Cricetulus griseus: one gene and its partner. The protein of the gene in region 2 binds, or shares a complex with, the protein of the main gene of each other region. Links are inferred from orthologs where the notes say so. Each region holds a gene or a part of one and is shown on either strand. Other genes may lie near its edges.

Region 1 (4,434 bases), on a different chromosome or scaffold from region 2:
GAATTCATTTGTTCTCAAGGCAAGGAATGATATTTGCCAGCGTGAGTTAATTTAAATAGTGTTGATTTACATGCTCAAAGAAATGTGTCACCCTGCAAAATTTGTTTGTTTGTTTTGTTTTGTTTTATTCTTAAACTATTAGTAAGAAAGCTGGATGTCAGGTCTCAAACCTGGGACAATTGCTAACATATCAAAGTGGACCTGGCCACTACATTATCCTAGTATTCCTCAGTCCCTAACTGTTACAGGGTATGGCTGACATAGCCCACTTCCTAAACTTTTCCAGCCCAGGGGTTGGGGTGCCCTTTCCCCAGATGCCCTTGTCTATATAACCCAGACATATTGGTTACCAAACCCTTTTTGTTTACTCTCTACTCTCCCGGCTCTCCCCTTGTCCCTCTCCTCATGTGACCCAGCTCAGGATCATGTTCACTCTGGACTCTGATGTACCTGCCTCTGGCTATACTCTCCCCGTAAACTTTCTCCTCCACCATACCTAGGAGCAGTCATGTCTCTTTTATTTTTGTTTGTTTTTGTGTTTGTTTGTTTTTAGTCACTGATCAATTTGTTGACACTAGGAACAATATCAGCTGTCAACTAAAAACAAGTCAAATGCTTTTGAGCATTTTCTCTCAGCTTTTGTTGAGTTTTGTTTGCTTACTCTATTTAATTTTTGACAGTCTCACTATGTAACCTAGGCTAGGCCAGAACTTAAGATCTCCTCCCTCTGCCTTCCCAGAACAGGGATTGTAAGTGTGTACCACCTGCCCAGCTTTTTCTCTGGCTTTTGTTTAGGAGAGGATGCTGCAAAGGTGTCCATGAATTACTCTTGGAAACCCATCAGTGCTGAGTTGTAAATGACCTCGAGGAAGAAGCCAAATCCTCAGCCTCCAACTCAAACACTTCAGGGAGCAAGAGAAAAAGAATGATCTGCTACTTCTCATCTCAACACACTCCCTGTTAAGCCCTTTTCTGTTGGTTCAGCTCTCCTTCTCTTATCTACTTCTGCCCACCCATCCACTTCTTTAACTAACCATAACATCTCTTGTAGAATGTCATCCTACATTCCACACCCCCTGCAAATGAAATGCTTTGGGTTCAACATGCAGAAGATTAGCTTTGCTGGCTAACACAGCTATGAAAATGTTGAATTTCTAGTGTAACTAAAATTTTATTCCAGTAGAATGAAGTAGACGCATCAAAGGCTGTGAAGTATATCCCCATAGTGAACTCATTGTCTTGGGAAAGAAGAACAGCTGAGACTCCCTGCTTCTCTTCAGTAGAGACAGATCTAGCTGTAGAGGAGGACAGGTCCAAGTGGGCAGCACTACTACAGATGCTTGGCCTCCAAATACTACATCATACTTGTTTCAGAAATGCTTAAGACTGTAGTAAGATGACTCAGGTAAGGTACCCAAGACAACATGAAATTCAGTTATATTTTATCTTCTAACTGAAAGTAATCAAATACCACATTTTATCATTTTGCTATGTGAAACAAAGTTTAACGATGTGTAATTTTCCATTCCTTGACACCATGTAAGCACGCAAAAAGTTACATATTTAGAAATATTTCTTGTTTTGGGTTTCTTTTTTTTTTAGGTCAGGGATGTACAACCTACCCTTCCATCCTCCTAAGGTATTATTTCAGACCTTCATCATTCTTTCCATCCCTCCTACCTCATCACTTGATTCTTAAGTATATGGTCCTGGTTGATTCTTACCTCATAAAGTCACACCAAGTCAGCTTTCAACTTTGTGTCACAAGCCAATACACCCACCTACACCTAGCCACCTATGCTTTGTCTCTGAGCTGCAATAACAGAAAGGTTCATCCACTTGTTTTCCAGGCCCATTGCCTCTTTTTACAGTGGATAGAAGGTTTTAGATGGTTTTTTCGATTTTTCTATTACGTGTTCCATGTGTTCCTGAATCAAAATAAAACCCATTTCCCTTCCCCTCACAAACCCCGTTAAAGCATAATGCTCACTCACCATCCCCCTTCTTACCCTCTACACCTCACACTCACCACTGTTCCTGGAGAGACTGCCTGGGCTATAAATGAGCACCAGCTCAGCAGTGGTGCTGTTGACTATTCTCTGAATTGTTCTGTTTCCTCGTGGCACTGTCTCTTCACAAAAAAAAAAAAAAAAAAAAAAAAAAAAAAAAAAAAAAAAAAAAAAAGGATGGGGATACTAGGGAGCAATGTCTGAATGACCAGAGCCTGGGAGTATTTCCAGATGTGGGTTGTAGCACACCAAGGGTGACACTGTTAACTTCCATCATATTTGAGTGCTTGTCTTACCTGCTGAAATAAGAGTTCCTCAGCTTTGAGTCGCTCCAGCATTTCCTGCTCCATCAGTGCTAATTCTCTCTCATGCTCCAACTCAATCATCTCTTTCTGTCTCTAGCAATTGGTAAAAAGCAACAGCACACAACTTATTAGAGACCAATCTGTTAACACAGTCTCAGAGGCATCTCAACCACCAGCAATAAAAGAAGGGCTAAGAACATAATGCTCTATTCATTTGGAAACTATACAACAATTTGGGGGATTTTTATGATTTAGCCAAACAAAGAACACACAATTAAGATTATACATCAAATATAAAGAAAAATGAAACCAATCTACAGACAAACATGTCAGGAAAAGACACTACTGGGTTGAAAATACTTAAAATCAAAACAGAAGCCTTCTTTCTGTTTTCTCTCCTCTCTGCATTCACATACTGTCCAAAGTTTTCATATAATAAACATTATTGTAATGGAAAAACAATATTGAACATAAAATGTAAACAAGATGAACCAATTATCATGCTCTTCTAATTTCCTGAAAGGAGATCCATATTTACCAATTGCTCCATGATCACATTTTGCTTGTACTTATAAATCCACAAGGCTAAATATTCTATTGGATCCAATGGGCGGACTCTTGCCACTTCAGCGAGACCTTGAGTCAGGCATGTCCCCAGGCACTTTTGAAGATATGATGACTCCATTTTTAATTCCTAAATAAAATGATCTATAAAAGTTTTTCATTAGAGCCAAAAGTGTTCTGAATAGGCAGAGTTAAAAGTAAAGTCAAGCTAAGCAGTGGTGGAATTCATCTATAATCCCTGAACTATGGAGGCAAGTAGGGGCAGGCAGATCTCTGAACTTAAGGCCACCTTGGTCTATAGAGAGAGTTCTTGGTCTACAGAGAGAGTTCCAGGTCTACAGAGAGTACCCAGAGAAACCCTGTCCATATATATATATATATGGCTACCGGAACATTCCACTCTGTCACTAGTCATGGGTATTTCTTATTAAGGATGAAATAAGCAGGCTGGCCCAAGGAAACTCCAAATGGTCTACAAAAGGTCTCTGCAGAAGTCATAGTGAAAATAGCTACTACATCCTGACAGTTCTTGTTTAGTCCCAGGGTCAGAAATGGGCACTAGTGTTATTCATCACATTGTGCCAAGTAATGCTGGTGCCAGTTAATGCCCACAACATCTCAGGCAATGGTCAGACAGGGAAGCAAACTCAAAGAGCTTTAGTGAACAGTCCAGAGCACTTGACTGGCATGTGAATGTATGGTTTGTACCCACTGCCTGACCTCAGAACCTTAAGTCTATTGACTCTAAGATGCTTCTGCTATGTACTTCCATAAAACATCACAAACTGTCCATCTCTTCTGAAAAATCATGTATTGTCAAAGCCAGAGAATACAAATTCAGATTCCAATAAACAGCATGCAATTACTCATAATCTAGCCATAAACTTTAGGCTTACCTCAAGCACCTGCCTGTCATCATCCACCCTAGGCCCTTACTCTACCAAATATTCTGCCATTCTACACAACACACCCTGCACTTTTCCAACTCCACGATCCTCCCTCTATTGTTGGAACATGGCTCCTCACCTTCAAGGTACAGACCAGCTCTAGCTCTAAGAGTTTTTTCAACCAGTACAAGAAGGTTCCTCCTGCTTCAAGTAGTTCATACAGCCTTCATCATGCTGCCTGAGATGAGAGAGAGAGAGAGAGAGAACATGCATGCATGTAGGCATACCATGCACCTATGCTTGTCTTTCTTCTAGAAGACAGACCCCTCTAGGTTCCCAAGGAGTATTTTGGTCACAGGGCTAACAGCACTGAGCAAGTTTGTGCCCACTCCCAGCTGTTTCCCAGTCTTTTCAGATATGAACATTGTTGCATGGCTCCTTCTGGGTTGACTATTTCTATTTACCCCAGAAGGATAAAAGACTGAACATATGATTCTACTCAAGCTCAGAATTGTAACCCAGTGTATTTATTGGGATTGCCCACAGAAGCTACGGTAAGAATATATGTTCCAGTGAGAAGTTTACTAATATTGCTTTGTTAAACGTATGTAATCTGTCTGTCAGTTGCCTTCTAAACATCTGCATTTAGACCTACAGACTACCTCTGAT
Region 2 (4,273 bases):
GAACGATGACTTCCTCCCCTCCAGCACATTTTCCGTCAAATGATGTTTTCCCTAAACAACCAGTTTGAAATTGTCATCTGTGCTGGACCTAGTGGTTCAGTCCTACAGTTCCACTTACCTAAGAACCTGAAGTGGCAGACTCATAAATCTAAGGCCTTCCTGGGCTACTATGGGGTGAGTGAGTTCAAGGCAAACTTGGGAAACTTATGAGACCCTATCTCAAAATTAAAAGTAAGTCGAGGCTGGAGAGATGGTTCAGTGACTCAAACTACTGACTGCTCTTCCAGAGGTTCTGAGTTCCATTCCTAGCAACCAAATAATGACTTACAACTATTTATAACAGGATCCAATGCTGTCTTCTGGAGTGTAGGTGTACATGCAGACAAAGCACTCATACATAAAATGCATAAATAAACCTTTAAAAATCTTACTAAATAATAATATTAAAAGGTTATAATTGAGTGGGCCAGTGGTGGCACACACCTTTAGTCCCAGCACTCGGGAGGCAGAGGCAGGTGGATCTCTGTGAGTTCGAGACCAGCCTGGTCTACAAGAGCTAGTTCCAGGACAGCTTCCAAAGCCACAGAGAAACCCTGCCTCGAAAAACAAAAACAAGTTGTAATTGAACTGGGGATATGGTTTAGTGGGAGAGTGCTTGCCTGGCATGCACAAGGCCCTAGTTCAATCCTTTGTAACACACACACACACACACACACACACACACAGAGAGAGAGAGAGAGAGAGAGAGAGAGAGAGAGAGAGAGAGAGAGATTGTTACCTGTGCCTTTCACAATGGCATTTCCCCCAATCTATTTTTCAATAGAATTTATATCCTTTTTGAGTTATGTTTTTCTGTTTTATTTTTTTAGACAGGGTCCCACTCTGTAGGCCAAACTGACCGGTAACTCCCTATGAAGCCCAGACTGGCCTTGAACTCTAGCAATCTTGCTTTGGCCTCCAGCATGTAGGAATTAGAGTTGCCAGCCACCAAGCCTGGCTTATAATTACTTATTATGATCATTGTTAATTGTCCATCACCCTAAACCAGAATGGACTCTACATAAGAATAGAGATTTTTGGTTTTGCTCATTGCTGTATCTCTAGCATGAAGAATTGGCATAAAAATAAGGAGAGGCTGGAGAGACGGTTCAGTGGTTAAGAGCACTGGTTGGTCTTCCAGAGGACCTGGGTTCAGTTCCCAGCAACCAGATCAGGCAGATCACAGGAGACCTGACACTTTCTTCAGGTTTCTGAAGACACCTGTACATATTCATACCCATGTAATTAAAAATAAAATTAAAAAATAATATTGTAGTGAACTATAATAAGTCCAGTCCTCATATAAGTATAGGCAAGGCTTTTTTTTTTTTTTTTTTTTTTTTTTTTTTTTTTTTTTTTTGGTTTTTCGAGACAGGGTTTCTCTGTATTGCTTTGGAGGTTGTCCTGGAACTCTCTCTGTAGACCAGGCTGGCCTGGAACTCACAGAGATCCACCTGCCTCTGCCCCCTGAGTGCTGGGATTAAAGGTGTGAGCCACCAACAGCCAGCATAGGCAAGGCATTAATACTGAATTATATCCCCAGTACTGCGCATATCCTAACAAATAAATGAATGAATCCATAGATAGCTATGTGGCTCAGCCAGGAGTCCTATACTGTGGTGATATTTTAGACAAAAAAAAGAGGAAATGTGGTGATATTCTGTTTATGATCTAACAAATAAAGCTTGCCCAAAGATCACAGAAGCAGAGCAGCCAGCCACTAGAGAGTTCTCACCTCTACCAATGCTCAGATCAAAGGGGCGTTCCTGTCCTCAGACTGCATCTGTCTCCACCAAACCCCAGGCTACACTGAGCTCCTGTCTCCTCCCACCATACTGCCTACTTCTGTCAGCCCCATGCTCAGAAGGAAAGTTCTGTGTATCTCTTCCCAAGGACCCACCTTTGAGATCCAGGCTTCCTAGACGGGGATGAAAGATGCCTTCAGTGTCCGTGATCTGGTTGTAGGAAAAACTGGCAATCTGCAGGTAGGGCAGTTCGTTCAGCCGAGCACTCCGAAACTGGTTCCCATCAGCCTTGAGCCACAGGAGGTGGGTGAGAGAGTTGAGCGGCGACAGGTCTGTAAGGTGATTCTCAGAAATGTCCACATAGCGAAGGTGAATGTAGGAGCGCAACAGGTAGATGTCTGTGAGGTCCCTAGGAGACAGCAAGGGGCGGCGCCACCAGAAAGGATAAGAACCCAGCAAGATCTGGAAAAGGTGCTCTCCAGAGGGCAACAGAGACAGCTTATCAACGGGATGACGGAGTGGGAGGGGGGAAAAGGAGGCAGGTGGAGTTTTGTTCTTGTTTTTCAGTGCAGAGATGAAAACCAGGGCCTTGTACAATGCTAGACAAACCCTCATTGCGGAGTCTCTGCCTAGCTTGGAGACATAGCTTAGTGTGTGTGGTGGGGAATGCTTGTCTAGCATGTACAAGGAGCAACAAGATCATGGACACTGAGGGCATCTTTTCATCCTTCTCTTCCCATGAGATCAGATCGGAGAGACAAGCTCTGGTCAAAACATTCAGGAACGAGAGAAGGGAGGCTCGTGGTGCTCCAGTTTCTCCGTCCTCACCTGTCTTTAACCTCCAGCTTAATATAAGCGTGAGCCAGTCCATTGCCAGTCTTGCAGAGTAAAGACAGCCCTTCCTTCATCATGGCCTCCGTGAGGGGTGTGGGCATCCACTGCAAGAGGCGGGCAGTAAAGGCGTCACTTTACAACTCCCCTCGAGCCCCAGAGCCCCAGGGCCCCTCCTCCAGGCTCTCACTTCCTCGGAAACTTCCTCCCCCTCCTTTTTGTAGTCATCCCACTCCTCCGTCTCCTTGTCATCATCCTCTTTTTCCAGGTCATCCTGGTCTGGCTCAATGTCATCCAGATCATCTTCATCCGACATCTTTCTCCCCTCTGCCCTCTTGAGTCAGATGAAATTCAGTCCTGGTGCTGAGAAAGGAGACGTTAAGTTCCCACGCCACCAAATCCTCCTGTACAGCCTCGTGACTGCTGACCCCCGGCCTGTGCATCGTCCCTCGTCCCGGAGAACATCTCTGGACTCCCAACCTCTGCTTGGAGGACCCCACTCCCTACAGGACACCTTCCCATACCCCTGGCCCTTTCCTGCCTTCACAGTGGCTCCAACTCTGTCCCAGCAACCCAGTGTCCCTGCTTCCTGAATTCCCTCTGATAGAGTTCTACACGTCTTCCTAAAATCTCCCCACCTACACCTCACCTCCAGGTTCCCTTCCACCCCCAACCCCTGCTCCACTCATTGCTTCTGATGCGATAGATCGCTCTGTTTAACACCATTGCGCAGACGCACAGTCTCCAACCCAATTCGCCTTTGGAGGGAGGCGCAGACCCTGGTTCTCTTCCTCTAGAGTAGTTATGGAGAGGATCTTGGTGCTGAGAGGCCAGGACTGCTTTTTGGAAGACGCATCGGGGGCGGAGTGGGGGTGGGGTACTCCGGGCTGTATACTGTTGTTATGGCAACGGGGCGGGGACGCTTGGCTTTGCAGCCAGCTACCGTTAAGAACTCAGAGTAACCCAACCGTAAAGCACAAACCCCAACGCCCCCTACAGTCACCTTCGGCGGGTAGTTCAGTGGTTGCCAAGTTACGAGGCCAAATTCCCAATCCCACGAACCTGGAGGAGGCAAGAAGAGTGTCACGCGGTTAATTGTCCGAGGACATAAAACAATGGTCCACTTATAACAGCCTTGCAGAAAAGTGGGAGGGAGGCGGGGCTGGCCATTATGTCCTTAAAGGGACCAGATGTCCGGCGCAAAGGTATTGTGCTTTAAGACTATCCATCCCTAAGAAGCAAAGGGGGTTTGTTTGGTTGAGTGGTGAGTGGGATCTATCGCTGCTCAGGTTCGGCTCATTGGTTATTTTCTGGTAGGCCTTGGAAGGTGGGTGGCCTGACTGAACAGAAGCTCAGGCTTAAGACAGGCTTGTAGGTACCGGAGAGATGGCTCAGCAGTGTCTGCCCTTTGAGGGTTCTCAGCACCCACGTCATTCCCACACCATCTGTAACGCCTTCTCCGGGGAGATCTGATGCCCTCTTCTGATTTCCAAGTGCACCAGGCACTCACGTGGTGCACAGACATATATGCAGGCAAATGCTCATACACATACAATAATAAATCTAAAAAAATAAAATTAAAGGCCCAGCTTGGAGTTTCGGCAGATTCACAGCTTGCTAGCATTTGCGTATGAATCTGTAGAATAAACTATCCTTAA

The links.
Region 1: Lrrc23 (region 2) and Dydc1 share a complex: the UniProt entries of both Homo sapiens proteins name them as parts of the axonemal radial spoke complex. The link is inferred for Cricetulus griseus from reciprocal best matches to the Homo sapiens genes LRRC23 and DYDC1.

Annotation. Positions count from the first base shown.
Region 1 is NW_023276807.1:179,045,074-179,049,507, forward strand, and holds the start of Dydc1 (DPY30 domain-containing protein 1), read right to left. Parts: upstream 3,000-4,434; coding exon 2,853-2,999; intron 2,408-2,852; coding exon 2,306-2,407; intron 1-2,305. UniProt on the Homo sapiens protein: Functions as part of axonemal radial spoke complexes that play an important part in the motility of sperm and cilia. Plays a crucial role during acrosome biogenesis.
Region 2 is NC_048601.1:21,627,304-21,631,576, reverse strand, and holds the start of Lrrc23 (leucine-rich repeat-containing protein 23), read right to left. Parts: upstream 2,968-4,273; 5' UTR 2,932-2,967; coding exon 2,806-2,931; intron 2,723-2,805; coding exon 2,613-2,722; intron 2,194-2,612; coding exon 1,940-2,193; intron 1-1,939. UniProt on the Homo sapiens protein: Essential for sperm motility and male fertility. Plays an important role in the proper assembly of the third radial spoke (RS3) head and the bridge structure between RS2 and RS3 in the sperm flagella.